4 linked regions of the Struthio camelus genome follow. The protein of the gene in region 1 purifies or fractionates together with the protein of each later gene. This does not show direct contact. Links are inferred from orthologs where the notes say so. Each region holds a gene or a part of one and is shown in the gene's direction. Other genes may lie near its edges.

Region 1 (6,901 bases):
GACGAGGCCTTTCGGGTGGAGGGAACTGGGCTTGCTGGAAGCTGCGTGTTTGCCTGTCCCAGGGTTTGTGGCTGGATGCCCTGCACCCTGAGGAGGGGAAAGCGGAAAACTAGGGCCGTGGTGGCTGTGTTCCCTGATCTCTATCTGCACCTCCTCTTCTCCAGGTACCAACAATGCCCGGCTAGCAGCAATGCTGCGGCAGCTTGCCCAGTACCACGCCAAAGACCCCAACAACCTCTTCATGGTGCGGCTGGCCCAGGTGAAAATCCCACACTTGCTGCTTGTGGAGGGGAAGGGGAGGTTGGGGTGGCTGTCCTGTGCGTTGGAGGGGAGTGCTGTCCCTGGGCTGTCACCCCCTTGGCTGGCAGGTCTGGGGGGTCCCAGGCGCTGCCTAACAGCTCTCTCTCATGCTTTCTCTACCCCATCAGGGGCTGACCCACCTGGGCAAGGGGACGCTCACCCTGTGCCCCTACCACAGCGATCGCCAGCTCATGAGCCAGGTGGCTGTGGCTGGGCTGCTGACTGTCCTTGTGTCCTTCCTGGACGTGCGCAACAGTGAGTACTGTGGGGCCGCCCCCCTTCCTGCCACCCCTCTGCTCCGTGGGATGGGCTCTGCCCTGACCCTTACGTCTTCCTTCCAGTTATCCTGGGCAAGTCCCACTACGTTCTCTATGGGCTCGTTGCTGCCATGCAGCCCCGCATGCTGGTCACCTTTGACGAGGAGCTGCGACCTCTACCTGTATCGGTTCGGGTAGGACAGGTAAGGGGGCAGCCAGAGCCTGGGACAGGGTGCTTGGGGGTCCCTGTGTGTTCTTGGCCTTCATCTCGCTCCTCTCTTGCAGGCTGTGGATGTGGTGGGCCAGGCAGGAAAGCCAAAAACCATTACTGGCTTCCAGACTCACACAACACCAGTGCTGCTGGCACATGGAGAGCGGGCAGAGCTGGCCACAGAGGAGCACGTGCCCGTGACACCCATCCTGGAGGGATTCGTCATCCTACGCAAGAACCCCAACTACGATGTTTGAGCTACCGGGGAATGGGGATAGGGTGGGGGACAGGACGCGGGGCAGGTGGTTGGGGTGGGGGGGGGGGAGAAGGTGATTTGTTTGTTACTGTGATTTGAGGAAATAAACTATGCGGAGACTCTGGTGCTGCCATGCTGTCCCTGCACAGGAGGCACAGGATGGGCTCTCATCCCCTCTGCCCTGGCCAGACTGGGTACACTGCAGTGAGGCCATGTCCATGTTAAGCCTGGAGCCCTGAGCTGATGCAGGCCAAGATCTTCCCCCAGCCGGAGCAGGGAAGAATAGGCTCCTTTCCACGGAGCCCTAGCCAAGTCTCCCTTAGAGGGACACTGTGGCGCTGGAGCAGGTTCGGACCCCCTTAAAGTTACCCTTTCTCTGCTGCTTCTGCCAGGATGGACAGTGATGGGCAGCTCCCCGGGTTCTGCTGGGCCCTTGGGTAGCTGATGCTCTCAGAGGCTGGGTGCAGTGCAGGCCCCAAGAGGCAGGAGGTGAAGGCAGAGAGCCCCTGTGAGCTCGCCCTGCCCCCACGGGGGGCTGCAGGCGTGCAAGTTCCCAGACTGGTGTGGGTCTCGGCCTTGTTAGGCCGTGGCCTTGTTCCGGCTCCTGTTTCTCCTTGCCCTGTGTGTGTCCGTGCCTGCACGGTGCCCTGGGCGCGTGTGGCCGGTGCGGCAGGGCGTGCCTGCGTGGCACCCACGCCGGCGTTGTGCAACTTCCCTTCCCCCCCGCGCCTGCGTCAGCACAGACTCCCTGTCCCGTGGTGAGGTGGGTGTCTGGCACTGCCTGTCCTGAGCTGGGCCTCTCGTCATGTGGAGTCTCTGCTGGCTGATAGTGGGGCTCAACTGCTCCCTGGGGTGCGCTGGGCTGTTGCCGGCTTTCGGTGCAGCTCGTAGGAGTGCAATTCCTTTGGAGCCCTCGTGGGACCAGGATCAGGGTTCAAATAACTCTTGGGGCAAGCTGAAGGAGATGGGGTGGGGGGAGTTTCTTAAGAAAGAGAGGAAAACCCTAAGCTGTTTCTCAAAATACTGGTACCACCACCCTGCCACACCAAGCAGGGTGCCCTGTCCTGCTGCCTGGCGAGCTGCGCGCTTCCCCGATGCCTGGGGGTCCCGCAGCTCAGCTGGGCCTCTTCGCAGAGTGGGGGCTATGGCCTGGGTGCCTGGGACTGCTGGTGCTCAAGGGGACAAAGGGGACCTGCTGGCTGTCCCCTGCAGGTGCCTGGCACTGCCCCAGCGTCCCAGCCCTGCGTCAGCCTCTGGGGACAGTGTGGCTGGATCCTGGGGACATCTCTAGCCAGGGCCTGGCTTTGTGCTGCTGCGTGTCAGCATCCTTCTGTCCTCCCTTGGCTCAGGTCCCAACCCCGGGGGCACCCGCCACCCTCCCCGAGGAGGGGTGGGGGCCTCGTCACCCGCAGACCTGCTGCTGTGCCCCACGCAGGGCAGCAGGAGTGAGGCCAGGCCTGGAGGGTGCTCGGCACCCTGCTGGGGCCTGGGATCCTGTGGGGCCGGCGCGAGGGTGCAGAGAGGTTGGGTATGGTGTGCTGGGCTTCGTGTGAGGCCTGAGGGGTGCAGGGTTGGGTGCTGGCACTGGGCCCCAGGGGTGGGCACAGGGTATTGTGTCCCATGTCCCAGGTGCAGGGTGTGGGGGTGCTGTGTCCCACCCCAGAGGGTTAGGGTGGTGGGTGCAGGATGGGTGCCAGCTGCAGGAGTGCTGGGTGCGATGTCCCAGGCACGAGGGTGGGTGTAGGGTGGTGGGTGCAGTGCTGTGCAGCGCCGGGGTGGTAGGTGGGTGCAGGGTGGGCACGGGGGGAGGTTGGCTGGAAAGCTGGTTGGTGGGTACGTGCAGGGTGCTGGGCCCTAGCCTGCGGGGTGCAGGGTTGGTGCTGGCTGCAGCGTCCCAGGGATGGATGCAGTCTGGGTGCTCTCTCCAGGGGGTGCAGGGTGAGTGCAGGACGCTGTTTCTGGATGCAGGATGGGTGCAGGGTGCAGACAGGACGTCCTGTCCTGAGGGGTGCAGGGTGGCTGCAGGATGGGAACAGGGGAACGGAGGGCACAGGAGGGGTGCTGGGTGCCATGTCCCACGGGGTGCTGCAACCGGAGAAGTGTTGGGTGGGTGCTGTGTCCCACAGCGTGCCGGGGGAATGCTGGGTTGATGCTGGGTGGGTGCTGGATCCCGGTGGGTGCCGAGTGGGGTGTCCTGTAAGGGGCCGAGTCGGTGCTGGGTGCGGTGTCCCACAGGGGGCCAGGATGATGACGGGTGGGTGCCAGGTATGGTGTCCCACGGGGACTGGGTGGGTGCCGCATGGGTGCCCGGTGGGGTGTCCTGCGGAGGCTGGGTGCGGTGCCGCGTGGGTGCCGGGAGCGGTGTCCCGCAGGGGCCGGATGGGATGTCCCGCGGAGGCGTGCGATAACGGGTGCGGTGCCCGGTGGGGTGTCCTACGGGGGGCCGCGTGGGTGCAGGGTGGGATGTCCCGCGGAGGCCGGTCGGTGCCGGGTCGGTGCCGGGTCGGTGCCGGGCGTGGTGTCCAAGGGGGGCCGCGTGGGTGCCGGGTCGGTGCCGGATGGGGTGTCCCGCGGGGGGGCCGGGTGCAGTGCCGCGTGGGTGCCGGGTGCCGCGGCGGCGCCGCCACGTGCTGCCGCACGGGGGACCGGGGCGGCGGGCGTGGCCACGGCGGCGGGCGTGGTTTACGGCGGGAAGGGGCGGTCCCACGCGGGCCCCGCCGCGGCGGCGAGGGCGGGGCGCGTACCCGGCCCCGCCCCGTCACGTGACGGGGCGAGGGGGCGGGGGGGAGCGGGCCCGGCGCGCCGGCGTCACGTGCGGCGGGGCGGCGCCCAGACAGGCTTCAGGCGGCGGCAGCGGCGGCCGCCTCCCGCCCCTCCCCCCGCGGCGGCGGCGCGTGGCCCCGCCCCTGCGCGCGGCGCGGCTCCGGAAATGGTCGTGCTGCGCTGCGCTGCGGCTGCGTCGGGCCGCGCGCGCTGAAGGAGACTGAAGGTAACCGGGCGGGGGGCGGGGCGCCGCGCCGGGGGGGGGGAGGCGGGGGGGCACCGGCACCGGCCGCCTCCGCCGGGCCCCGCCGCGCCGCGCCGCTCCGCGCGCCGCCGGGCCCCGCCGCCGCCGCCGCCACCACGTGGGCGCCGCCCCGCCGCCGGCCCCCGCCCCTCCCCCACCCGGCGCCCCCGGCCCGGCCCGGCCCGGCCCGCCCGGGCGCCGCCGCTCCGCGCCCACGTGCCGGCCCCGCCGCCGCCCGCCGCCGCCTGCGCACGTGCTCCCGCCGCCGCGCCCCGCTTAGGCCCCGCTGCCGCCGCCCCACGTGGTGCGCGCTCGCCGGGCCCCGCCGCCGCCCCGTCGGCCCGCGCTGCCGGTGCTTCCCGGCGCGCCATGGCGGCGGCCGGCAGTGACACGTGTCCTTGGCAGAGGCCGCCGCCGCCGCGGGGGGGAGCGGGCCCGGCCGGATGCGGCACCGGGCCCGGCCGCCGCGCCGCTCCGGGGGCCGCCGGGCCCGCTGCCGGCGGGGCCGCCGCCGAGGCCTCTTTCCCCCCCAGCCGCGCCCCGGTGCCGGGGCCGGCCCCCAGCGGCGCGGCTGCCGGCGGCCCGGCCGGGGCCCTGCCCGCGCCGCGGGGCCTCCCGGGGCCGGTGTCACGGCGGCCTCGCCGCCCTCCCGCGGGGATGGTGCCGCCCGGCCCGGCCCGGCGGGGCGGCAGCGGGGTCGGGCGGCCCCGCCGGCGAGGCGGCATCGCGGCTCCCCGGAGGCGCCGGCGGGGCCGGTCCGGGGGCTGCGTCAGCCGCCGGCCGCCGCGGCCCGTCCTGCCCCGGGCACTGTCGTCAAACCGCGGGCGGGCGGGCGAACCGCCCCCTGCCCCGGCCTGCCGGAGGGGAGCCCGCGGACGGACCGACCGACGGGCGGCGCCTCCGGAGCGGCCCGGTCGGAGCTGGCACCGGAGTGCGGTCTCGGCCCCTTTGGGCCGGGCTCCGGCCCGTGGCCCCGGAGAGGCCGCTGCCTGGCGGGGCGTCCGCGGGGGCTGCCTGGGGCGGCGCGGGGGCTTCGCCCCGTTCCCGTCCCCAAACGCCCCAGGCGGCGCCTGCCCCGGCCTCGCTCGCTCGCGGCCCCGACGGTCTCGGGCCGGCGGGTCGGGTCGGTCGGCCGCCAGCCCCGGGGACGCCTGGCGGGGCGGTGGGTGGAGCAGGCCCCTCCTGCCCCGCCGGGGGCTCCGGCCGCTCCGAGGCCACGAAAAGGGGCGTCTCGCAGCGCTCGGCGGGCACGGCGGCCCGAGCCAGCAGCTCCCTCCCGTTGCGACCCCCCGCCACCCGCGGCTGCTCCCCTTCCCCTCCCGGCGGAGATCCGTCCCGTTGACGGGCCACCGCCACACCGGGACTTCCCGGATGTTTTATTTGTGCACGTCCGGCCGGGGAGGTTTCCCCGGTGCGAGGAGGGGGCCGGCGGGGGGGTCTGGCGGCACGCGCGCCAGGGTGGCTCGGGGCGCGGGGCCTGGCGCCCGGCGTGCCTGTGGGTGGGGTTTCGGGTGCTCCGGGGCTCGGCGGCTCTGCACTGCAGCACGCCCGGCCATCCCAGCCCAGCCCAACCCAGCCCCGGCGGCCTCGTGCTCCCGGCCGGGCCCCGGCGTCCCCCATGTCTGCGCCGCGGGGCTGTCCTCTCCCAGCGCCGGCAGGTTTGCAGGCTGACTTTTCTCTCCCCCTCCCACCCTCTTTCCCTTTTCTCCCTCTCTCTCTCTCCCCCCTTCTCTCTTTCCTCCTTTCTCTCCAAGTCAGTCGGATGAAAGGTCTCTGCAGGCCCGCTCAGTCGGCCCAGGTTTTTCCCGCGGGGGGGTGAGTATCTAGTTCTCTGCCGGTTGTGCCTGTGCTGGGGGGCCGGGGAAGCTGGGTTTGCCGCCTGTCTGCGCCGAGACTTGTGGCGGGGAGAGCGGTGCGGTTTTGGGAGCATGGCAGTGTCCTGGAAGCGTGGCTGTCCCCAGGAGTTCCCCGCTCCCTTCCCTTCCGTGTTTTTTTTAACCCCCCTCCCCTTTCCTTTTCCAAGTAACTTGTGCCAGCACCAAGCTGTCTTTTTAAAATGGCCCACGCTGCCGCTTCCCAGGGCAGGGCAGGGGCGTCTGGGCACGCGCGGCGGGCGCGCTGGGCGGTGGGGTGCCAGCGCGGGTTCCTGGGGCCCATGCCTGGCACTCAGCGCCCCCGGGAGCCAGGGGACAGGGCGAGCGCTAGGGTGCAGCCTTCTCTGAGGCCTGAAATCGGAGCGGGACTGATCCCTGCCTGGGCTTGAGGCTGGCGGTGTTGGTGTCTGGGGTCCCCCAAAGGCCGTGCAGGCTCTGTGTCCCCCCCCCCCCCCCCCCCCGTGCTGGGGACGTGGCCCTGGGGGTGCAGGGGATGGGGCACCCCATGGCCTGAGGGTGCTGGCAGGCGCCGGGGCAGTAGCGTTGGTGGGATGTGCCCGGCGCTGCCCTGCGGGGGGGCCGGGGGGTGCCCCGCGCCCCAGCCGCAGCCTGCCTGCGGCGCTGGGGGGCCGGCAGGGCTGCGAGCGCTGACGCGGCCGGGCGTCAGGTTACAGGCAGGCACGACGGGCTGCTCCTTCGGGTGGTCCGGCCGGGGAGCGAGCTTGCCCTGGCCGTGGCCGGTGCTCCGAACCGCCGTGGGGGTGAAGGGGGCACCTCCCGGAGCGGGGGGCACCTCTGCTCCTTCCTGCCCAGGCAGCCTTTGCACTGGGGCAGGGAGAGCGGCACCGGGTGCCAAGTCCCGCCTGGGATCTGGCTGGGGTTTGTCAGGGCCGTGGCCCGAGGGGAGAGCCCGGAGGGTGCCTGGGCTCCCCTGGCACGTGGGTGCTGGCAGCCAGGGTGGCAGTGCCAGCCCCTGGGGGGGGCCGTGGGCCCCCC
Region 2 (7,722 bases), about 440 kb from region 1:
CAATGACTTTATTTTTTCCAAAAGAATGCATATGCTCAAATTACGTTTTCTCAGAATTGGAAAAAAAATCTGTTTTTTGCACACTGCATCTAACAGAAATATGTGACATGCAGCATTTCATGGTAGTGTAGAAGTCTTCCAATTCACTTGAAAAATAAATGCAACTACAGTACTCTTTCAGGATGTTATCAGCAGCTGCCACCTGCTTAATCTCTCTAGCTTTCTTTACTCTTGCAATAGAAAGAACAAACTGCCCTGAAAGTATGCATACAACTTCTATTAAAGACTTTCTAAGCCTCCTCCCGTTACAGATCTCAATGTTTTTCAAACATCTGCCCACACGTAACCTCTGAGGCAAATACCATTACCCCCACTTTAAAGAGGGGAAAACTGAAGTGCAGACAAAGTTTTGATTTTATTCCAATAAAAATCAATGGCAAGAGTCCAATCAATATCATCTGTGCAGCTTTAGTGCTAAAATTACATGATTATGGTCACATTGGAAGTCTGGAACAGAGAAGAGAGCTAAGCTGACTCTGTGCCCTGGGCCCAGCTACAAACCTTAGTAAGAAAGAATATAACCTCTCAGTCAAGGAGAACATTCAAGACTTTAAACTATGATCACTGAGTTTTATAGCACGCAGAGGATTGAATGACTAACTACAGAAAATCATAGGAAAAAAAATGTTTTTCTCTTGCAAGTACTTAGGTTGAGATTTTACGGTGCCAACATTCTTCCCATTACCTGAATAGTTACTAAAATCACAAGACCACCATAAATGGTCCCTCTTTATAGTTTTCTTATTTAGGATTTGTTTGAAGAATTAACAGCAATTTACAAACTTCCTTTTAGAAAGGAAATATTTATTTTCTAAATTAATATTACTTTTTTTTATTAGTAGCCCAACCTAATGCTGATTGAAGGCAACAGGAAACTTCTCACGAGTTCAAAGGGCACTGGATCGAATGATAGCTATCTCCTACAAATATAAGAAATATTTAAGTTTTCTTAGTTGGCTAGATTTTTGACCCTCTGGGATATAGCTGAGATTCCCAGGTTCCACTAATCAACAAAATTATGCAAAACTGAAGCAAGGACACTCCTTGGAGACTTGCGCTCAGAAGCTATTAGGGAATAAAGGAGCACAAGCCACAAACCACCATGCACACGTTTCAGAGTCAGCCGGTAGGCAAAAGGCCCTATCCAACCCACGTCCTTCACAGGAGTCTGAATAGCTTGACTAGATTGGGCACGTGGGACAATTAAATTAAGTGGCCTAAATCCCACTGGTTTTCCATAGTGCTCGGCTCCTAAATTATTTAAGCATTTTTGAAAACGTTCCGTATTGGCCTAAAGCACAACTATTCAGCGAGACGAAACTTCTATCAGGAGAGAAAATTCCTTGTCTGGAGGTTCACTCACTTGATGAGAACATAACTGAGATTTTACAACACAAACAAGTTTGATTACAAAGAGCAGAAATATCTTTCAGCTCATAACAGAGCTGTAAAATAACTTTGCAAAAGAACAAGAAAACAAACCTAGCAGCCTAATATACTGAAAATGTCATAATGTGGATTTCACATTACATTGAGGTACTAAAGATATAAAGGAAGCCTGTCGGTGCATTAAAGTCACTGCATCTTACGAATTACTATTATTTAGTTTGTTTAGATTATGATTTCAGTAGAATGACAAAAGAGCTTAAGTTAGTAGATAATGAAACCCTATGACTGTATTTAAATAACAAGCAAGAGTCTCTTAGAATTTAGTCTTTCTCTCCTGGAGATTTTCCAGAATCCTTTGCTATTCACTCCTACGTCCGAGGAAGCATGCCTTTGCTTTTCACTCCTACGTCCGAGGAAGCATGCCTTTGCTTAGGTAGGTTCCGTTGGCAATGATGAATTGAAAGACATTACCTCTTGCTAACAACACCCTAACAGGACATGTTGATCCTCAACACGATCTGCTATGAATAACCTCTGACCATCTACAATTATTTCTCTGCCCTGCTAGTTGTGGCAGTCAAATAAGAGGTGCTATGTGCACTAACACAGGACTTGCAAATCTAGGAGAGGAACTCAGGACCTTTCCGGTTTCCAGGGGAGTACACAATGGTTTCACTGTATATTTAACTCATGGTATAAGTTTTTTGAAATGAGATTTCAGAAATTTTCTCATGTAAACAGTAACATTGCCTTTGCCAGAATATTGATGAGCAGGGACCGCTCATCTGAAGCCCAGTTTTGGGAGGTGTCATCTCCTACCGTTTTCTTTAGATACTTCATTCTTTACTTCAGTCTGCGTGAATAATGACTGGAAACCCAGCTGCTAAACCAGCCAGTCCACCTGCTACCCTGTGTTAATAAGTGTGTAATTACGTTCACTCTCACTGAAGGTCTCATGATTCACCAAGATTTGTCTTCTGTAGAGACATCCACTGAAGAATACAGCGTGCGCATATAATTGTGACCATGGATCCTAATACTGGCAGGATAGACAAAACACTGATTTAGTAACTTTTTGGTATCTCTTCTGCCTAACAATAACATGAACCTGGTCCGTAGGCAGCAAGTTTTCAGTCGAAACTGCTCTAGAAAGTTTACTAAGATTTAAAGCGAGGAGGCTATAATAAATTCCAGTATTAATCCAAGACTCTGTCTGTGATGTTACCTTTTGACACTTTTCAGTGTGATGCTTCATGTTCATAATAGACATAACCCCAGGCAGACCATGGCTACCTCCAGTCTGTACGAATACACAAACTAGGTATGAGATCAAAAATAAAACGTGTGTTTGCCCTACTATCATCAAAGAGATATTTCTCAAACACTGTGTTCACGGACAAGGTTTAAGAGTATAAAATGTTCCCAGTTTTATCTCCGGTATAGTTATGGTCATTACCAGGATGACAATCCCGGATATTTGCTATAGTGCATCACATAAAGACAGAACTGATTCAGTGTCTCCAACCCTTTGCTTATCTAAAGGTAATGAAAGCAAACTCTTTCCTTTTTTAATTTCTGTAGTACAGAGGACAAAAAAAAAAAAAAAAAACTAGACACCTAATTCTAAGATGGCAATATTGTTTCAAAAATACATTTAAAGTATGTGGAAAACGATGGCGTACCTTCCTGAGCTTCTCACACGTCTTTTTCACTTAGGTGTGCAGATATACGAAGGTCTAATTGCAATACTTAAATAATATGTATATACATTCTCTGCTTTCTTAATAAGCATTCATGATTCTTAATTCAAAAATAAGAATTGAGTAGCATTACTTCTTCCATCTGGACCCAATGTCATTTTTAATAGGAAATCTAACCATGCCTGCCCTAACTTGTGCCCTACAACGTTCTTTCTTCAGTCCATCCCGTTTCTTTGATAACTTGCGGTTTATGGCTCCACGTAATCTGCTATCATCCATTTAAAAAGACCCCCAGTTATTACTGTGGGGCTCCCTAAATTACAAATAGAAGCAAGAAGCATCCTCGATATTTTCCACCAAACGTGGGCAGAAACTTGAAAGCATTATGGTGGATCAACAGAAGAGCTATGTTTTTGTCATTCAGTTGGGATGTTGACAAATCCTGTGCTATCTCTACAGATAATACTGCCCCAGTCGAGGCTACCATAGAAAAGAGCTAATATATATTTAACCTCTCAAAGATTCTCTCTATGGATATTCTAGATAATTCCTAAAAGGCTGGGTTTTTCAAGCATTGACTCCATTTGTTCATATATAATCACTATGGAAACAACTTCAGAAGTGACACACACAAACCCATCAAAACGAAGGGAAACACTGCTTACAGCTTATATTATTTGCCTACTTAAGAAATACCGATGAACGGTAAAAACCTGATCAGTGTATTAAAAGGATCAGTATTTTTTTTTTTCTAAAACGGCCTGAAAGCAAGGAGCACGGCCACTAGCCGTGTCATTGATTCAGTCCGCACGACGACGCCTCCCCTAACGGCACGGTTCTGCTTGACTTCAGGTTGCACTAACCTTTACACGGGCCTTGACAGCATTTTTCACGCTACACCACGAGCCGCAGCACATCACCGCGCCGTGTTTTGAGCAGCAGCCTAGCGAGCACTCTGCCTCACTCCCACAAACGCTCCCCAAATAGGCCTTCAGCCCGTTTAAAAATGTTCCACTTTTAACACCCCAGAACCATCTGCATGATTCAGTCAGCTGCCGCCTCGGAGCCAGGAAGATGAAGCATCGCTGCCTGCGCCTCCCCTGCCCACAGGCGAGCCGGCTCGGCTCTGTCTGCTCACGCCGGGGGCGGTCTCCACGCAGGACCGCAGCGCTCGCGTGGGCCGGGCCGCGGCGGCAGGGAGCCGCGGCCGGGGGGAGAGGGGGGGGGCTCCCGCCCTCCCGCCGCCGGCGCCACCATCTTCCTTCCCGTCACCTCGCGGCCTCCCGCCGCCGCCGCCGCCGCCGCTCCCCTCACCGGACTGCGGGGGGGGGGGGAGGGGGAGGGCTGCGGCCTGCGTTTGGCTCCGCCGGGGAAGGGGGGGGCGGAGAGGGCGACCCGCGGCCCAGCTCCACCGCCCCGAGGAAGCCAGGTGCCCCGCGCCCAGCCCCGGGCTCCAAGACCGCTGACATGGCGGGGGAAACGCAGCGCCCACCCCGCCCCGCTCCCCCTCTACCCCGCCCCCCGGCACTGCAGCAGGGGCCGGGTGGGAAACCCCGTGCGCAGGAGCGGGAGGGGGGGGGCGGAGAAGGAGGAAGGAGGGAGACGCAGTCACTCCGTCAATGCTGCAATATCCTTCCGCGAGGAAAAGTAGTGCCAGGCTCCGGCTCACCTCTTGGCCCCGAGAGGCTCAGAAACCTCTGTGGAGGATCTCGTAAAGTGTGTCGAGGGGAAGCTCTTGCGGAGTGGCCTCAAACGGGGGTTTTTCATGGTTTTTTTCCTGTGGTGTGAGACGCATATCCATGCGCGGCGAAGAGCGAAACGAGTCCGGCAGCGGGTGGCTATATAAAGCGGCCGCCGCGGAGGCTTTGCCTTTTCAGTTGAGGACAGAGCTGGTGTTCGGAACATGTCAGGCGGCTCCGCGGATTATAGCAGGTATGGCGCGGCGCACTGCGGCCCTGGGCCCTATATTTTGTACGGTAGGTCGATGAGTTGGGAAAAGGCGGTGGGGCGGGGAAAGGAGCGAGGTGATGTAGGGGCGGGTGGCCGCGCGCGCGAGACGGGGCTCTGAGGGCGGTTAGACAGCGCCCGGCGTCTCGGCTCCTCCCAGTTCTAGATGTTTCCGTCCCGTTTCCTTTTTTCCTCGGGGTTCAGCGAGCCTTTCGTTCCTTTCCCTGGGATTCGTTTCTTCGCCGTTGGCTCTCTTGGTAGCTTTCCTCTCTCCCCCCTTCTCTTCCCCCCCTTCCCCCCCCCCCCCGAAAGGGCTATTTTTATTTTACTCCGCTCGTCGCGTTGCGCTATGGCTTAAAAAGGCAGTTTCATAAAGGTGCCTTTCCCCGAAACCTTTTTTTCTTCTTTTCTCTTTCTCTTTCCGATCCTTCCCCCGCCACCGGTTCCGCCGTTGGTTCGCTCCGGGTTGCGGGCCCGGCTGAGGGCGAGACCATTTTTCTCCGGAGGGGGGAGGGGCGCGGCCCGCTGGGCGTTCGCCCGGCGCCTTCCTCCGCTCGCTCACCGTAGCCGGTTTGCGCAATCCCAGGGGTGGAGCTCTCGCGAGAGTTCCCCGGCTCTGACGCGGCTGGGGCGGGGGGGGGGTGCGTGCCGCAGCGGAGCCGCGGGTCCCCCCCCTCCCCCCCCCGACGCCTGGCGCTGCGGCTGAGCTGGCTTATAGTGCGCAATGGCGACCGTTTCCCTGCCGCTCGCCAGAGCTGCGGAGCCCAGCATGCAGAGCCCCGCCTCGGGCGGATGCCTTCCGTGAGGGGGGCGCTGTGCACTGGGACATGCAGTTGTTGCCGTGTCGGCTAGGTTTTTATAGGAATTAATGTTCATCGGGAGTTGTGCCACGTTGTTGGGGGGGAACGGTTTTCTAAAATCGGAAATCCGCTGTGAAGACTCCCTGCGGAACGAAGGCTTTGACGATCCTGTGTCACACTGAGAACTTTGGTAGTGACTGAAGCTGACTGAGGAATTGGGCTAGTGGCACCCATGCTAGTGGGGAGAGGATAGAAGACTTTGCACTGGCGAAATATCAAAGCACCTGCTAGAAAGATCTTTCACTGGTTCCAGTGTGATGCCAACGTGGCTTTTTGGCAGCCAAAGTGCCAGCTCCCTTCCGTGTGTTATTAACTACTGTGTTCACAGTTTCTTCTTTTTTGGTGACAGAGACCATGGCGGCCCAGAGGGAATGGACCCCGATGGTGTCATTGAGGTGAGCACATGTGATCTGACTTAAGAATTTAATCATTGCTGGAGATAAGTGTGATTGTTGTAATAATTTGACTTTTTTCTTTTTTGCAGAGCAATTGGAATGAGATTGTTGACAATTTTGATGATATGAATTTAAAAGAATCCCTTCTCAGGGGCATTTATGCTTATGGTTTTGAGAAGCCTTCAGCTATTCAGCAGAGAGCTATTATTCCATGTATCAAAGGTATGAAAAGTATAATCGACTCCTTTGTTGTTAACAGCAACATCAGATAATTAGGAAAGTGTTGTAAAATGGCTATACTGTTAGCTTTCTTAGTGTGTGATGTTACTGATTTTTAATCCTTACTGAACAAGTGACATGATGGTACACCATCTTTCGGGACTGACCTGAAATGGAGAGAACTCTTTAATACTGATCACTTATTTCAAAGGGAATAAAATAAAACTAAACATGAATGACCTGTGTGGGAGCAGTAAATGTATATCCTACTTTTTTTAGGGTATGATGTGATTGCTCAAGCTCAGTCAGGTACTGGCAAGACAGCCACATTTGCTATTTCCATCCTGCAGCAGTTGGAGATTGATCTCAAGGAGACCCAAGCACTAGTATTGGCCCCTACCAGAGAACTGGCTCAACAGGTATTGATAGTGTAGTTAAAAAAAAAAAAAAAGCTGCTTGTGTGTTGCATAGGTTTCAGGTTTCACAACTGTGGGACAATTAACAGACTTCTTAAGGGGCTGTAACTAATATCCATTCAGAACCCTTTTTGTGTTGAGTGATGGGGGAAGTAAACTGGCCTCTGTCCCACAAGTTCTCTGCCTGCTTTTGAAAAGTTCAGATGCCATGCATGTGGAGGGTATTCTGGGGCAGGGTTGCAGGTACCAGCTGCTATGCTGTTTATAGTTCTGAAGGAGCATCTTCAGCAGAATGGCAAAATACAAGACATGTTATTCAAGCACAGTGTTCTGAGTGGAAACAAAATGTACTTTTTTGGAAGCTGTTTGAACTTGCGTGCAGTTGTGCAACATGAAAACTGCAGTGCGCATGTGGTCAGTTCATTGTTTTTGTAACTTGTGATGTTTTTCTGACAAATGTTATATTGCATGTTTACTTCACTCTCCCAAGACGTGGTGTTCTGTTTTACTCGGTGGAAGTGCTTGAACAAAGCTATAGGATACTGCAGTTTTTAGGATGAACTGAAAACCTAGCTTGAGTGGATTTAAAAATTAAGAGAATAGAGAATTTTCAAGAGAATTCTTGAAAGGGGACAGAACTCAAAATGGAGTAGAAAATGGATTATATACAGCTTGCTATTTTTCAACTAGAATACACTGCAATGTCCGTGTGTTAAGTGAAGATTCTCCTTAAAAG
Region 3 (7,528 bases), on another chromosome or scaffold:
CTCAAGGTTACTGGGAATATGTTCGCTTTCTCACAATAGGAGCTCAAACACTTGAAGGGGTAATAACCTTTCCCTGCTGTTGACTGGATTGCTCAAAGCACTGCTAAACCACTTCAAGATTAATGATAAATCTTTCAAACATCTTAGAGCATAGAAAAACCTCAGAAGTGATCAGCTCATGGGTTTGATACAGGCTTTATTCCAAATTCAAATCAAATTTTAGCTAAAAATTGGAAAGGACCACTTTGCCATTCAGGAATGGTTGCTGGGAATGTGAACTTCCAGGCAGATTTCATTGTGTGCTGCGATGAGGAAATAAATGCTAGGTAGTAGTAATTACACAGACCTTTCAGTCACATAGCGATTGATTTGGGGGAGGACTGTATTTCATATTTCAAGACAGATGAGATACTCCAAGAAAACTTTTTAGTATATTTTCTTTCATAGAGCTGCCTTTTTCTATGGCACTTAATTTTTGCTGCCATCTGCTCATGCAATGAGGATCTTTCCTCTACTCATTTTTTTTTGATATTTCAGATGCATGGAGATTTTTATAAAATATCATTGTGGATAAGTCAATGCTGATACTAATAATTTTCCAAAGGAAAAGCCATTGTAACATTTTATACTACTGCGTATACCCAGAAAGAGTGCACTAACAAACAAACAAAGTAGAAACCAATATTGTCCTACACAGTAAAGCATAGAAATATAAACATGTGGAATGCAAATACACTTTCTAAAACTGCATAAAATAAGAATTTCAGACATTACTAACTCTCATTTTATTACCAGTATTTTTTTCCCCTTCTTACACTTTATTAGTCTGGAATGATATGTGTGACACAGGTGAAATATAAGGCATATGCTTTGCACAGTGGTTTTCCTGAAAACACCATCAAACAAGCAAGACACACAAAAATATGTATAGACTCTAGATCTCCAGATTAAAATGTTACCAATCCATAATACTACTTTATGTTTTTAATAGCTAAAGTATTGGACACATATTCACTAATTAATGTTCCTTATATGTATTAATCTTTGGAAGACATGTAATTATCCTCCTTCTACACATAGAGAACTAAAACATAGAAATTATAAAGTAAGAATTCTTTTAGGTCTGAGTAATTACGATCATAGTATTTTCCCTTAAAACTTTGCATCCTGCTACAAAGATCTGAATGACCGAGTAATTCTCCTTTCTCTTTCTACCTCTTGCCTCAGCTGCTATTTCAACAGAGATCCCCACAAGCGTGGGTGCAGACTAAAGCTGTTTATAAAATTAAAAAAGCATGGTATTATTTAAGCTGAGAGGCCCTTCAAACCATGTTTGTACAGCAGCCGAGTGGAGAGTTTTGCATGCTCAGCACTTCTGAAAACTCAGCGCTACACAATTTTTCGCCTATATAGCATTTTTAGAGAAAATGAATGGAAGAATCAACATATTCTTATTTAGCTATAGATCTTTGATTGGTCTGTACTTAAGCTAATAAGCATAATTATTTATTTGGTATAAATAAGACATTCTTCACTGAAGATTGTTTTTGCAGCTCATGGCAGAAATCTTGAAGAAAAATACTGACTGCGAATGAAATAATTCAACTGCAGAAATAATTTTTGAGCAGGGCCAAAAAGATTGTCTTTGACATAAGCTATTTAATTCTTCCTTTTTTGTGTGTGATTGCAGTAAAGGCTCTTGGAAAATGTGTAGCATAAAGAAATTACAATCACTGGAGGAAGAAAGAAAAAAGAAAGAAAGGACAGGTATCAGTAGATTCAGGGTCACAAATGTAATGAAGGCAAAAGTACATGATTACCCAAGGCTCCAATCTTTCAAAAGGTCATTCTATGCACATCCTATCAGTATTAGATAAAATTTCATAGAGAGCATAAAAATTAGAGTTTGCTTACTCTTTCAGAATTCAGTTTAGAAATCGGTGCTTTCAGCTCCACTATTCTTAGATCACATGTACTCAGCAAAATGTATGAGGCGTTTCTGGTTTGACAGACGTGTTACAAGAAGCCATTCCTGCTGAACGTCTTTTCTTAAACTTCTCATTGATTTTATTAGGAGTTTTGTATGTGGAATATCTCCAGGAATGGGCTGCAGCTGCCAGTACCCAAAATCTCTGGTTGTAAGAAGCTGTTCCACTCACCCTGAGACTGCTGAGTAAGGATTGGAAGACAAAGAATAGCAGGTAGAGATAGCAGCACAGGGTCAGGGGGAAAATTTCAATAGAAGAAAGGAAAGGGAGGGGGGAAGGAAGGAAGGAAGAAAAGATAAGTTAAAAGTTGCTGTAAAGTAAGGGAAAGTGCAAACAGCAGACTATACAAAGACAGGAAAGAAGGATCCAGCATTTAAATCCAGTGTTTAACCAAAGTGATTTAAAAAGTAGTTGATAGCTTACAAACAGGAAGAAAAGTAATATGCAGAAATTGTCTATTCCCGCAATACAGACTATTGTGAGAATGGTGAAACATAGGCCAGAGACCAAATATACGGTCTTGGAAGAGCCATGCGGACCCAGCTGGGACTGTGGATTGAACCACTGCATGTCCTCGCATTTGGAAAAATATATGCTTGTGATGGCAGGAGAGGTAATTCAGCTTTGTTCTTTACATTTGCATGTGTCAATGCTGCTGCAAACCAGAAAGTCAGAGTCTGGTTAACTATCATGATATAATGTGGGGAAAAAAAAATCACCTCACAAAGCGCCGGTCATCATTTCCATTCATAAGCATAGCGCACAGTGTAAATACAGAATTGACAAGATAAACGCAACCAACTGCATTTTGAATGGAGTTAGGGTGACATCTTGTGACTAGCTGATAAAATTATAAAACTGGGTTTTCTTGGCTTCATTTCTCAAATTTCTTTTCTCATACTTTTATCTAAACAGGAAAAATACTGCCATATGAGATACTGCCGTATGAGATAGGGTCTGAATGCATAATGCTAACTGCCGTAGTTGTTCTGCTCTTTTAATGAACTCTTACGCATTCTTATTCTACATGTTTTGATGATTTGTTTGAAAGCGCTTGGCCAAAAACAAAATGCAGTGTGCAAGAGTTCACCTTGGAAGCTGAAGCAGATGCGCTGCTCTGCAAGAACTGCTCTGACCTGTTTCCTCTGGAAACGTCATTCTAACCTCAAGACGGTATCCAAAACAAATTCCAGGTTCTGCCTTTGCAGCCTTCCTGTATGCCGCTTTGGATGTCATCATATTGGCTCACATGCCGAAAAAGTGGCACTCGGCATATGTTTGCGTCAGCCCGAAGTGCCCTTAACAGAAAGTAACGGTTTGGTCGACGAAGAGAGGTCAGCTCTCCCAGCAGGTCAGTCACGGTGGTAGCCAAGGTGAGAGGAAGGAACGTTACCGGTGCAAAACTCATACTAAAATGTTAACGTTAGCCAAGGTAACACTTTAGATCGCTGGAGCACATTAGAGAGGAGCCCCTGCCCGGCGGCATCGCCGTGCGGGAGCGCGTTCGCTGTCCATCACCAACGCTTCTCCTGTCAACCGGCGCGTCGCCGCGGCGACGGGGGAAGGCGGGAGCCGGCGCTACCTCACGGGAAACGCGGTTTAAAAACTATAGAGCTCTTGTAGGGAGAAACACAACCCTCGGGGACGGCTTGGCTCAGCCAGCCCCCATCTGGCCTGGCGGCGGTGTCCCGTGAGCCAGCAGCCGGCGTCGAGCCCGCCATGGCGCCCGCCCCGCCCCGCCTCGTCCCGTCCGGGCGCCGCCACCAGGGGGCGCTGCGCGGCGCTGATGTGGCGGCCGCCGCCGGGCCGTACCATGGCGCGCGGCGGCGCCGCTCGCGGGGAGGGGGCAGCCCCCCCTCCCCCCGCCGGGTTCTACCCGCGCCTGAGCACAAGCGCGAGGGTGTCGGCTCGGCACCGCGCGCCTCCCCCTCTTCCATAAGCTTGGTAGCCCCTTCGGGCGAGCCCATGACGGAGCGTTTGTAGGGGGGGCCGTAGACGGGTTTCGTTTCAGGGTGCTGCCCTGTCATCTTCCGCCCTACCGTTCACCAGGGAGACACGCCGAGTTATCGGCGCAGGAAGACTTCATGTGCCGTCCGTGCAGTTAAATGTCACGATGCCTCCCTCTTTCCACTTTCCCAAAAATGGTTCAGGCGAACCCCACCTCGGGAGGCTGGAAGGAGCCGCCATGTTGGACTCAACCACCGCGAGGGGCGAAACGGGGGAAGTCGTGACCACCGGAAGCAGAGAAGAGCGGAGACCGCCGCTGGCCCCGGGAGCAGCGGGAGGCGAGGGAGATAGTGACTTATTCTCCTTCCGCTCCCGCTCCGAGCGGCGTGGAAAGAAGAAAGGCAGCTAGCGGGTGCTGCGGCGGGGGAGGGCTTCCCCCCCCGCCGGTTGATCGGCGCCGCCGCGCGGTGCCCGCTGGGCCGCGCGCACATGGCCCGGCGGTAGGAGCCTCCCCGCCCCTCCCCCGCTCCTTTCGTCCGTCGCGCTTGAGGTGGGAGCGCGCGGCCGGCGGCGGCCCCAGCAGCCGCCCCCCACCCCCCCCATGCAGGACACCGAGGAGAGCCCGGCGGCCGCCGCCGCGCCCCAGGCCGAGGGGCCCGGCGAGGAGCCCGAGCAGCCCGGCGGGCCCCCCGCGCCGCCCGCGGAGCCGCAGCCAGAGGAGCCGGGAGAGGAGCAGGAAGAGGGCGAGTCTGAGGCGCCGCCGGGTCCTCCCGAGTCACCACAGCCGCCGCTCGCCGCCGAGGAGGCCGCCGTCGCGGAGCAGCCCGAGCCGGAGCCGCAGCCGCCGTCCGGCCGACAGAGCCCCGAGAAGGCGGAGGCCGCGCCCGAGGCCGAGCCGCCGGCCGGGCCTGAGGCCGCGCCCGAGCCGCCGGCCGAGGCCGAGGCGGAGCCGGTAGCCGAGGCCGGGCCTGAGGCCGAGCCGGTAGCCGAGGCCGAGGCCGGGCCCGAGCCGCCGGCCGAGGCCGAGCCGCCGGCCGAGCCCAGCGCGGCGGAGGAGGGGGAAGGGGAGGGGGAAGCGGCGCCCGCCGAGCCCGAGGACGAGCTCTCCTTCAGCGACCCCGAGGATTTCGTGGACGACATCAGCGACGAAGGTGCGGCCGGGAGCGGGCGGCCGGGCGGGCCCGGGCCTGGCCGCGCGGGAAGGGAGAGGCGGAGGCGGCCGAGGCCCGAGCCGGGGCGCGGGGAGCCGTCGAGCCCGGCCGGCTGGGCCCGGCCTCCCGCCGCGGGCAGGCGGAGAGGGGCCCGGCGCAGCGCTGGGGAGCGCGCAGCTCCTCCGCGCCAGTGCTGCGCGGCCCCGGGGACAAACGCAGCGAGCGCCTCGGGGGCGTCTTGCGTCCAGCGGGCTGTGACCGAGTCCCGCTGCAGGAGCTCGTTGTGAGGCGGAGAGTCCAGCCGGGACTCTGCCCGCGCCCCAGTCCGGCCGGCCTGGCGGCTGCTGGGCGCACGGCGGTCTCGGCCCGCCTTACACGGCGGTGCAGTGCTGGTCGCAATGGTTGTACCAACTACGACGTCTGCACTGTAGCAACGCTTCTTAAGCGCAATTTCTTCTTGCGTATCTGTGCACCTTGCCACGCTGCTTAATTGCCGTTGTTCTTAAATTTACCGTTAAGACCTAAGTATCGATCCATGGGCTGTCCCGACCAAGTGGAATCATCAACCTGGGTGCTTTCTGTGTGGCTCTGTTAGTTAACCTGAACTGTGAAAACAATTTCTAAATAGTCGATGAGATTTAATGAACTCGACTTCTTTGTTTTTCAACACCTCCATATGGAATTCTGCAGATGAACAGCGTGAGTTTGAGAAGAGTTACTGCTCAGTAAGAGTTGTCATAGGTACTCTGTGGCAAGAAAATATGGAAAAGCTGTTTCTGATGTTTGAAAGTTCAGACTGAAGCTCTTTAAAATGACTGGATATTGACTCTTAACATGAGTGAACCCCTGTGTGTTTACATAGATAATTATGGGAAGAACTAATTTTGGTGTAAGGGAGTTAGAGCTCTAATATCTTTGTTTCTTCCAGATGAGTCGTTCTTGATAAACTATTTCACTTCTTGAACAGCAGAAGTGTTTATCTTTTTAACCAATACTTATTCTGACATATGTGATCTCATGGGCCTCTTGTAGTAGTTATGTATGTCAGAACTGGAAAATGTTTCTTTCAGCATTTGGTAGTTCGTTCATAAGTCAGTCGTTTCGATTGGCAGTGAAGTGTGGGTGGTGTATGTGCCTTCTAGTATTCCAGTCCTATGTTTAGTTTAATGGACGATCAGGAGAGTATCATAGGTTAAGAAAACATTTTTTTCTGAATTCAGCAGTTTGTATCTCTTCTCACTTCTGTGTTTCTTAAATCTACTTTGGCAAAATTGTCTGCAGGAGTATAGCTAGATTCTTTTGGTCTAATCAAGTGTTTGCTTGATGTGCTTTGTCTACACTTGGGATGATTATGCTCATTTCTGTCTTTTTCCCCAAATGAGGCAGACTGCCCATCCTCACGCTTTCTATTATTAAGGATGAATCTGATTAACTTTTCAGCTATATGAGTGACATCATTTTAGTGACCAATTTACAGTGTTTAAAACTGCTGGTTTGGCTTTTCCACGTGCACGTGTTATTTCTTGAGCTGTCTCCTTCCTTTCTCTTTACCTTCACAACTCCCTACGGAGAAAGGCAGTCCGTCAGTGTCACAGAGCCAGGGCTATTATAATGCTTAATGTAACATCACGTTTTTCAAAATACTTGGAACTAGAGCAGCTTTAGGATTGGACCGTCTCGGGTATGTTACTTTATTTAACGTTTTTCCAGAATGATGTTGGCACGGCAGAACAGCTGATCCAAGTTCAAGCAAGAAGGGATGTGTCAGATAACCGCTTTGGTGCAATGAAGCTTCAGTTCAGATTCTGGTAATGGTCCTTAAAACTGGCAGGTGAGGGTAGCTGTATACCCACCACACCCTCCTTTCCTAGTGGAGTAGGAGCTGGCTAGACCAGCTTCTTACTCTTTGAAGATTCCTTTGTTCACAATTTTGAACTTAAGGCAGAAGTGTGGTACAGTGTAGGTATTTGTCTTTCATCTGTTACAGTTCTCATTCAGTACAGGTGTATTGTGTGTACTTGCACAAGAATCTAAATACGTATTACTTGGTTGATCTACAGGCCTACAAAGTCTTTTGTGGGAAGTGGTTATGAAAAAAAAAAAGACTAATGGAGCCTAAATACAAATAATCCTTCTGCGTATATTTCTTTTTCTGTTGGAGGCTTATGTGGAAGTGACCTTGCTGTTCCTTGTAGAGCACTCTTGCATGTTATATTTAGGAAAAAATCTAAGATATGGGACTACTGGGTACGTAAGAGATATACATGTTGGCATTTTACTGTAATACTAGATTTTGAAATTCCTTCCTTCAGTCCTTACTTTTGTAGGCATAGTAGACGCTTCAGTGCATGTCTCCTAAATCCTACTCGATTGATTAGCCTATCCCTAACTTTGGTGTGTAGTTAACTACCTGGAGAATAGCTAAGTACTGGAAGAATATTC
Region 4 (7,721 bases), on another chromosome or scaffold:
CTTGACCAAACAAAACCAACCGACCAACCAAAAAAAAAAACCCAAAAACTTGTTGGACTTAAAATGCAAAGTAATTAGATTGATGGTTATTTCACACCATTATTTCTGTTCAGTCTGCTTTAATAGTCATTACAAATTTAGATCCTATGTACCTGAATCTCCCTACAACTCTAATCAGCATACATCTTTGAGAAGACTGAGATATGTGGACTAGGTAAGAATAACAGCTGGGTTGCATCCATGAGCATACAAAACTTCGAATTTTTTCCCTTCCTTACAGCACATAATGGTGTGTTTAACACTGCTTAGATATTATATAAAAAAAAAAAAGGCCGGAGAAAGCTCTACAAAAATCTTCCTTGTATACTGCTGAAAAACAAGCAGGAGGTGTGATAGCGAACAGTCCTACCTTTTTCAAGGCTGGAGAATCTTGAACTTCCACAGTTGCGATGTAGAACCATGATCTCTTATACTGGCCAAACACAAAGGCATGAAGCAATTTATTCTCATCTGTAAGGCAGCATTTTCTCAGCAATAGATTCCTCAGTTCAGCTGTTACGGACGGATAACACCAAACCCACAAAGCATCTCCATTGGTGTCTTTTTCTACGGTGGAAAGATGTTCACTGTGAGAACGCCAAACAGCAGTGAGGAAGTAAATCGATTGGTTAATCAGATTTGTTTCCTGGAATCAGATTAAAATTCCGTTTTACACTGACCCTAGGCATCCAGTTATGCTGCTGCTGCAGGCAGCTATTGTGCTACGAGTTTACTTTTCAAACGCTTATAAAAAAATCCACTCTTGACCTGCCTCACGAGATCCAGGACTAACTCGAGGAGTTTGAATAACACATTTATATAAGCAAGGTCCATAGGAACCAGATCAGCGTATTTACCACGTTTCCTGTTTTTCTCATTTCTGTTCTCATGGCCGAAACCGAGGAAGCCATGAACTTAAGGCTCCGGCTGTCCTTCGCGCTGTTGAGTTTCGTTACAACAAGACCAAACCGCGGCCCCGGCGAGCACGCAGCCCCCGGCAGAACCGCAGGACACGCAGCATACACGCCAGTGCTTCACTCTCGCCGGCATTTCGGGTGGTTACAGGGGCGTTTTAAGGGGGGGGGGGGAAGCAGCTTGCAGCGCGGCGAGGCGCCCGGGCGCGCCGAGCGGGGCTCTCCGGGGCTGCGCCCGGCACCCCGCCGCTTTCGGGCGCCGCCGCGGGGCCGCAGAGCCAGCCCGGCCCGCCCGGCCCGCCCGAGCGCCGCCGCGCCGGGCCGGAGAGCCCCGCCGGGCCGGGCCGGGCCGGGCCGGGCCCGCCGCAGCCCCAGCCCCAGCCCCAGCCCCAGCCCCAGCCCCAGCCCCGGCGCCGCGGCCCTTACCGACCAGCCCCACGCCCAGCAGCAGCTGCGTCTCCGGCTCTGCCATCTTCCGTCTCCCGCCCGCAGCCCCTCACCCGGGCCCGGGCCTGAGCCCCGGCCCTCGCCGCCGCCTTCCGCCCGCCGCCGCAAGCCCCGCCCCGGCCCGGCTCGGCCCGGCACGGCCCGGCTCGGCCCCGACGGAGCAGGCGGCGCCCCGTGTCGCCGTCGCCGTCCGCGGCGGGGCCGGGCCGGGCCGCCTCGCCCGTTGCCATCCCCTGCCGCCCGCCACGCGTCCGCCCGCGCTGGCATCGCGCTCACCCCGACGAGCGCCACCGGCTCCTTTTCTCTCTGCTTCTCCGGCCCTGCTGCCTGTCCCTGCCGCCCCTCCGGGCTGCAGCTGTGACGGCTGGCATCCGCTGCAGCCTGTCTCCTCCCCGGCTCTTTTTCAGTTACTTTTCAATCTGCTTTCGGGTAGAAAATGAACCCCCTAAACCCTTTGTCCGTTTCTTTGTGTCATTATTTTATAGATTTTTTTCATCACCTACATTTTTTAGCTCTGTAAATCACAGGATACAATTTATGTATTTTATTTATAAAATACAGACAAAATATATTACAATTTATGCAACTGATTTATTTATATATTACACAAAATAAGGTTGTATTGCTCACAGAATTTTCTTACTTTATCATCAACCATCTAGTCCTGTAACATCCAGAAGCTGTGCCTGATTATGCTTCATACGGAATGAAGCACAGCATTTACAGGCCTTGCAAATGCTTCTATAAAGTATTCATAAAGGCCTGTTTATGCTTGAAAGATAGCCTGATTAAGGTAGGGAATATTCATAAAGCATAACAGCTATTTCTGAATAATTCCGTGCATGGATGCGTTTATTCAAGAATAAAAGCATCTTGTTTTATAGTTTGGATTAACTGAACTGAATATGCCTGAATATTCCATATGTGAAGCCATAGTGCACAAAACACGCTAATAATAGAGAGCAGTAACAGATTTGGAATAATTTGTCACATTTCCAAAATACCCAGGATAACTAGAGGAGTATCAGAAGAAACAGTCCAGTCCTGGGAGGGGGGCCAGAGCTGTCAAGGGTCTCGCCTGGCAAGGGAAAGCACCAAAGGGTAGTCTCTCAAACGATTTTCACACAGGCAGTCTTAAAGCATAAGCATTTAGTATGCTTATCCGCCATTTAGCGAAAGACTTAAGTAGTCAGATAGTAAAAGCTGTTCCTGATACAAAGTTGTCTAAGTCAGTCCTGGAGGGCTTTCAAGAATTTCAGAGAGATTCAAAGTGAAGACAGTGGGCTACATAATAGCAAATGATGGTATTAAGTAGCAATAAATACAAAGTAGCACACCTGAGCTCTACTACCAGAGGGTGTAAGGCCCTAGGACAAGCACTGGCTGCTGTGATAGGGGCACAGGCGGCCTTCAGATGCTAGGAGGCTGCTCATTCAGATCTGTGTAGTGTCCGTGTTCGGTTCTCGTCTTACAGACTTTTAAATTAATTTTATGAACACAAAAAAAGGACTTGTTCAACACTGTGTGTAGCTTAACGAACTCTACCGAATGTGTAAATGTGGTTTACACATGTGGTTTACCTAGACTGCGGGAGATAGTACAGAACGCAGATTGTATTAAAATAACATCATATAAATCAATAGCGTGCCCTCATGGGGAACACTGCGTACAACACTGGTCACCTGATCTCAAAAAGACACCAAGGACACATGGAGAAACTCTCAAGCAAAGAGAGACTGATAAAGCAGATTTTTTTTTCCTTTCCTCCAGAATGGAGACACATGCAATAGAGTGAAAAGGGCCTAGTGTGGAGCACCAGGGGGTTGAGTTACATGGATATACTGATGACGCTAGAACTTCCATACATTGATTGTGTATTTTTCCTTCTTATTTTAATTAGTTTTCTATTTAGCAATAAACTGGGATTACAAGACAACATTAAAAATAATGTTTTAAATGTGGGTTGCATAATAGTCATGAAACTTTTCTGGTGGCCATGTAAGATGGTAACTGCAAAAAGTACACAAAAAGAAATGAAGTAAGACTTCTTGTTTGTAAACAGAAAGTACACAGAAAGAAGTGTACTGAAACAGAAGATCAATAGACAACAATAGGCTGTCTTTAATCATCATACTTCATCTAATTTTAGAAAATCATACTTAGTCATACTTAAGAAACTGGTGCTAGACAGCTGGGTCTGCAGAGGGTCACAGCTACAGTCACGAGGTGTTATCAGCGCTCTTCTAGTGCAAGGTCTGCATTTCTGCTGAAAGACTAAAAACTCTTTAATGTTAAATGCCTCAGTGGAGATTCACTCTTCTGGTATTTACTAACTCAAAATACCGTATTTGTCACACATTTAATTGCTGCTCTTCTACTGGGTGTTTTTGCTGCTGTTATATGACTTTCATACACTTTCATAGTTTCTGTTGTTTTTTCCAACTGCCAAAATAGAATTTTTCAGTGAGAAAACACAGTCGCATTTCTGAAAAATATGCACTGACACTGGTAGCTATCCCACATAAACTCACATTACTACTCCTGCACAGAACTAAAGCTATTGGAATGCCTGCGTTCCTCTGAAACAGTTTCCCAAATTTTGAAGATAAAACTTTCATCAGAGGAATGAAGACATGGAGACAGAAGCAGGGCCTTTGTGCAATTTCTTAACCACTTCAGAAGTACTATTTCCGAACTGGCTGAACAGGTTGCCAAGAGCAAATGCGCGGCATGTATAATGACTTCTCTGCCAAAACAGTCTTCCACGTTCAGCTTATTTAGCTAATTCAAAAACCTAATTCTAACTTAGCCTAATGTCTTCACGGAGCTCCGCAAGCCAGTTCCCTGATTTGGAGGACCGCTACCCCCACAAAGGTACCTGGCTGGGTCAGGAACTGTCCTTACCTGAGTGATGTGTGCGGCTTGTAACCTAATAACACACCACCTGCCCCCAAGGCCACCTCCTGCAGACAGACTGGTGCCTCTGTGCCAGGCACTCCTGTCAGGAAGCGCAGCCACATCTAGCAGATTTCTCCTCCTGTCACTTCTCCCGGTAGCACAGCCCCGGTCTGGGTTGAACCAGCAGCTTCACAGATTCCCAGTCCGACGGCAGCTCTCGGAGAGGACCGCCGCGGCGCACGTGTCCGTTAGGAACCGATGGCGAACACCAACCGCCTTAACCTCACACGCCGTCTTGTACTTGGCGGCCAGGCCCGGGGCGGGGAGGGAGGCTCCGGACACCCGCCTCAGGGCCCGGCCCGGCGCAGCGCGGCCCGCCCCGCCCGGCCCCAACGGTCGCGACGCCGCCCGGCCCCGCGCGCGCCCGCCAGGAGGGGTTTCCGCTTCCGCAGACGTCAGCGCGCGCGGGTCACGGGGGCGCCCTCCCTTTCCGGCCTCGCAGGCTGCCTGGCTGGGCGCACGGAGCGAGCCGCCGCCGCCGCCGCCCTCGCTCTGTGAGGAGACGCCGCCGCCATCATGCCGGTGTATTTTCAGCGGCCCGAGAACGCCCTGAAGCGGGCGAACGGTGGGTGCGGGCGGCGCCGCGGCCCCGCCAGTGTTTCTTCCCCCCCCCCCCTCCCGCCGCCCGCCCGTCCATGGCGGCAGCGTGCGCCCCTCCCCTCCCCCCCCCCGGCCGGCCGGCCGGCCCGGGCCCGCCCCGCCTCCCGCGCGCGCCGTCCCGCCGCCTCCCCCCCCTTCCCCCCGCCCGGGCGGCCGTTAACCGCCCCGCGCCGCCGCCCTGCCGTGAGGGAAGGGCGCGGGCCCGCCGGCGGAGGCCGCGCCGCATGGCGGAGGCCAGGCCGGGCCCAGGCGGCCGGGGGAGCAGGCCCGGCTCCGCCTCCCCGCCGGGCCACCCTGCGGGCGGCGGCCGGCCCCGGGCGAAGGGGTCCCGGCGGCTCTGCGGCGCCGCTGCCTCTGCCCCCTGGCCGCCGCCGGCGTTGCTGTGGTTTGTGAGGACGGCGGGTGGCTCTGCTCGCCCGAGGGCTGGCTCCCCGTCTGCTCCCCCCTGCGCGGCGGCGGCGGCGGCTCCGCTGTGTCCGGCCCGGCTTCTACGTGCGCTCCAGGATGGTGTTTTTGTTAAACCCGAGCTGGTCCCAGGACGTGCTTTTTCCGTGTGGGCTTCGGATTTAGTGATCCCACCGCTCATTAGTGACTCTAGCGAGAATGCAGATAATTAAACTCCTTAAGTGTTAGGCAGGCTGATGCCTTTCAGGTTAAACATACAGCTTTAGCGTTTCTTTTTTTATAGCAGCCTATTTTGATTGGTCAACAAGAGACCACTTAGACTTCTCATCAGTACAGGGCTGCTTGCAAGAAGCAGATTTAAAGACATCCCAAAATTACAGAGGATATATGGATCTTAGAACGACACCTGAAGAGGCTGGGTAGTCTGGGAATTCTGTTTAGCTCAGGTGTTCAATTTTCTAACAACAAGAAAATGTTAAATAAAATACTGAATATTCTCAACGTTTCTAGTTTAAAGTTATTTTTAAAATCATTTCTGCCTAAACAAAAGAGAAAATCAAGTCCAGTAACTCCAGTGAGGAAGTTGTATATTAGCAGTCTTTTTACTGGTGAAGTGCATATATCAAAGTAGTATATTCTCTACTTAGGAGTTCTGAGGTTTAATTAAAGTTGGTGAGGAAGTCACATTGTTACCTTACTGACTAAAAACTGTTCCTTAAATCTGAGATTTTATCTTTTCTTTCCTGGAATTAAAGAACAGTGTAAGGTTTTAAATTGACATTTCTTGTACTGCTGCAAGTCCATTAAAATCTGATGAGTTGAAGGACTGGGAGAGAGAAGTGTACTCTTGACAAACACAAACAAACCTAAACTTCAGCAGACTGACTAGAAAAAATGACAAGAAAGGTCAAGGCTTTGTAAACTGTGGAGGCTTCGATTTAGTCGTATCTGAGTATAAAAGAAGCTGAGAGGGTTAGCTTGTTCCTAAGCTAAATTATATGTCATGGAAAGTACTTTAATGTTAAACTGATATTTCAAACTTGGGAAACGCAGTGCAGCTTCCTGAGTTCTAGTTTTTGTGTTTATATGTAAGGCTTAAGTTAGCATTTAGAAGTATTTTATGCTCTGGGTTCCTCGGTGATTTCAGCATACATACAGGATGTTTAGAAGCAAAAAGAGCTTGAATTGTTGTAGATGTGTATATTTTAAGAAAGATTGTTTTTCCTCCCAAACAACAGATGCAGGTCAAAGCCAACCCATAGCTGTTGCTAGTATCTTAGCCAGCTTCTGTAACAACTTAGTTTTTTCACATTGAAACTTTAGCTTACTTAAGGACTTGCCTTAACACTAGTTTAGTTGTTCCTATGTATCAGCTAGTTTATGTCCAGTCATAGATTCAATTTTTGTTTTTTGGATACCTTTTAACATATATAGCAATATAACCCATGATATAATGAATTGGAAGGAAAAAAGGCATTCTGATAGCTATTCAGGAGCTAACATTTTAAATTTGCTCTGTTACAGTTCTTTTTTTTCTCTAACTTACAGTTTCAACAATACGGTGTAGTGATGTGTGCTGTCTTTGACTTTTCAGGTTCACTTTGCTTTTATGAAAGTCTTTGTTAAATTAGCCTTAGTTATTTGACTTACTGGCAATAACTTGCTTGACCAGAATAAATTAAAATTTCAAAACAACTTGAATTAATTTTGTACTTTGTCCAGTTGGTTATCAGCCACAAAGAATCGTGGCTGGAGCAGCCTAGCATTGTTGCAAGAATTCAACTTGCTCTTCAGGTTTATTTTCATAAATAAAAGACTGTAAAGCTGAGCAGTAATTGCTTCAAAAGCAGCTCTGAGACAGAATAATGGCCTAAATTATAAGATGGAGTGTAACTTTATTAAAACTTTCTTGGTGAATAATTAAAAAAAAAAAAAACTACTGAAAACTGTCACGTTGTAACCTTATTTTTCTGTAAATATAACCCTAAACTTCATCTGTAAAGGAACAAGTTCATTTTAGGCAAGCTCATTATTTAAATAAATTAATCACCAAATATGTGGAATTATGGTTCATAATTAAAATATTATTGCTGTTTTTGGACTATAATTTTTAGCCATGTTTGGCTTCAGTTCTGACATTCCAAATCCTAGAACTCTGGTTATATATATATACTTTTGAAAGATTCACGATGAGCGCACAGCAAGCTCCCTCCTCTTTTTGAAGCTCTGTTTGTATGCCTGAGCACTGTGAACAGGTCCTTACTTTCCTCCTTTAATCCATTCTGACATTCTTTCTTTAGGAAAGCAGTCATTTCTAAGGTACTTTATGGAAAGTAGTCCATACTTCTTCCTTTTGGA

The links.
Region 2: the proteins of EIF4G1 (region 1) and EIF4A2 purify together in Homo sapiens (affinity purification with mass spectrometry; 6 studies listed by BioGRID and IntAct, with this or other methods). This does not show direct contact. The link is inferred for Struthio camelus from reciprocal best matches to the Homo sapiens genes EIF4G1 and EIF4A2.
Region 3: the proteins of EIF4G1 (region 1) and EIF3B purify together in Homo sapiens (affinity purification with western blotting; 7 studies listed by BioGRID and IntAct, with this or other methods). This does not show direct contact. The link is inferred for Struthio camelus from reciprocal best matches to the Homo sapiens genes EIF4G1 and EIF3B.
Region 4: the proteins of EIF4G1 (region 1) and EIF3A purify together in Homo sapiens (affinity purification with western blotting; 4 studies listed by BioGRID, with this or other methods). This does not show direct contact. The link is inferred for Struthio camelus from reciprocal best matches to the Homo sapiens genes EIF4G1 and EIF3A.

What each region holds. Positions count from the first base shown.
Region 1 is NC_090950.1:22,673,798-22,680,698, forward strand, and holds the start of EIF4G1 (eukaryotic translation initiation factor 4 gamma 1), read left to right. Parts: upstream 1-3,887; 5' UTR 3,888-4,013; intron 4,014-5,785; exon of another isoform or gene 5,786-5,846; intron 5,847-6,901. Other genes in the region: PSMD2 (26S proteasome non-ATPase regulatory subunit 2), read left to right, coding at 165-259, 429-555, 642-760, 843-1,025.
Region 2 is NC_090950.1:23,112,821-23,120,542, forward strand, and holds the start of EIF4A2 (eukaryotic initiation factor 4A-II), read left to right. Parts: upstream 1-4,720; 5' UTR 4,721-5,052; coding exon 5,053-5,081; intron 5,082-6,305; coding exon 6,306-6,351; intron 6,352-6,440; coding exon 6,441-6,573; intron 6,574-6,701; exon of another isoform or gene 6,702-6,772; intron 6,773-6,849; coding exon 6,850-6,989; intron 6,990-7,722. UniProt on the Homo sapiens protein: ATP-dependent RNA helicase which is a subunit of the eIF4F complex involved in cap recognition and is required for mRNA binding to ribosome.
Region 3 is NC_090956.1:6,231,856-6,239,383, reverse strand, and holds the start of EIF3B (eukaryotic translation initiation factor 3 subunit B), read left to right. Parts: upstream 1-4,521; 5' UTR 4,522-4,536; coding exon 4,537-5,086; intron 5,087-7,528.
Region 4 is NC_090948.1:7,407,559-7,415,279, forward strand, and holds the start of EIF3A (eukaryotic translation initiation factor 3 subunit A), read left to right. Parts: upstream 1-4,704; 5' UTR 4,705-4,874; coding exon 4,875-4,923; intron 4,924-7,721. Other genes in the region: DENND10 (DENN domain-containing protein 10), read right to left, coding at 410-626, 1,677-1,771. UniProt on the Homo sapiens protein: RNA-binding component of the eukaryotic translation initiation factor 3 (eIF-3) complex, which is required for several steps in the initiation of protein synthesis.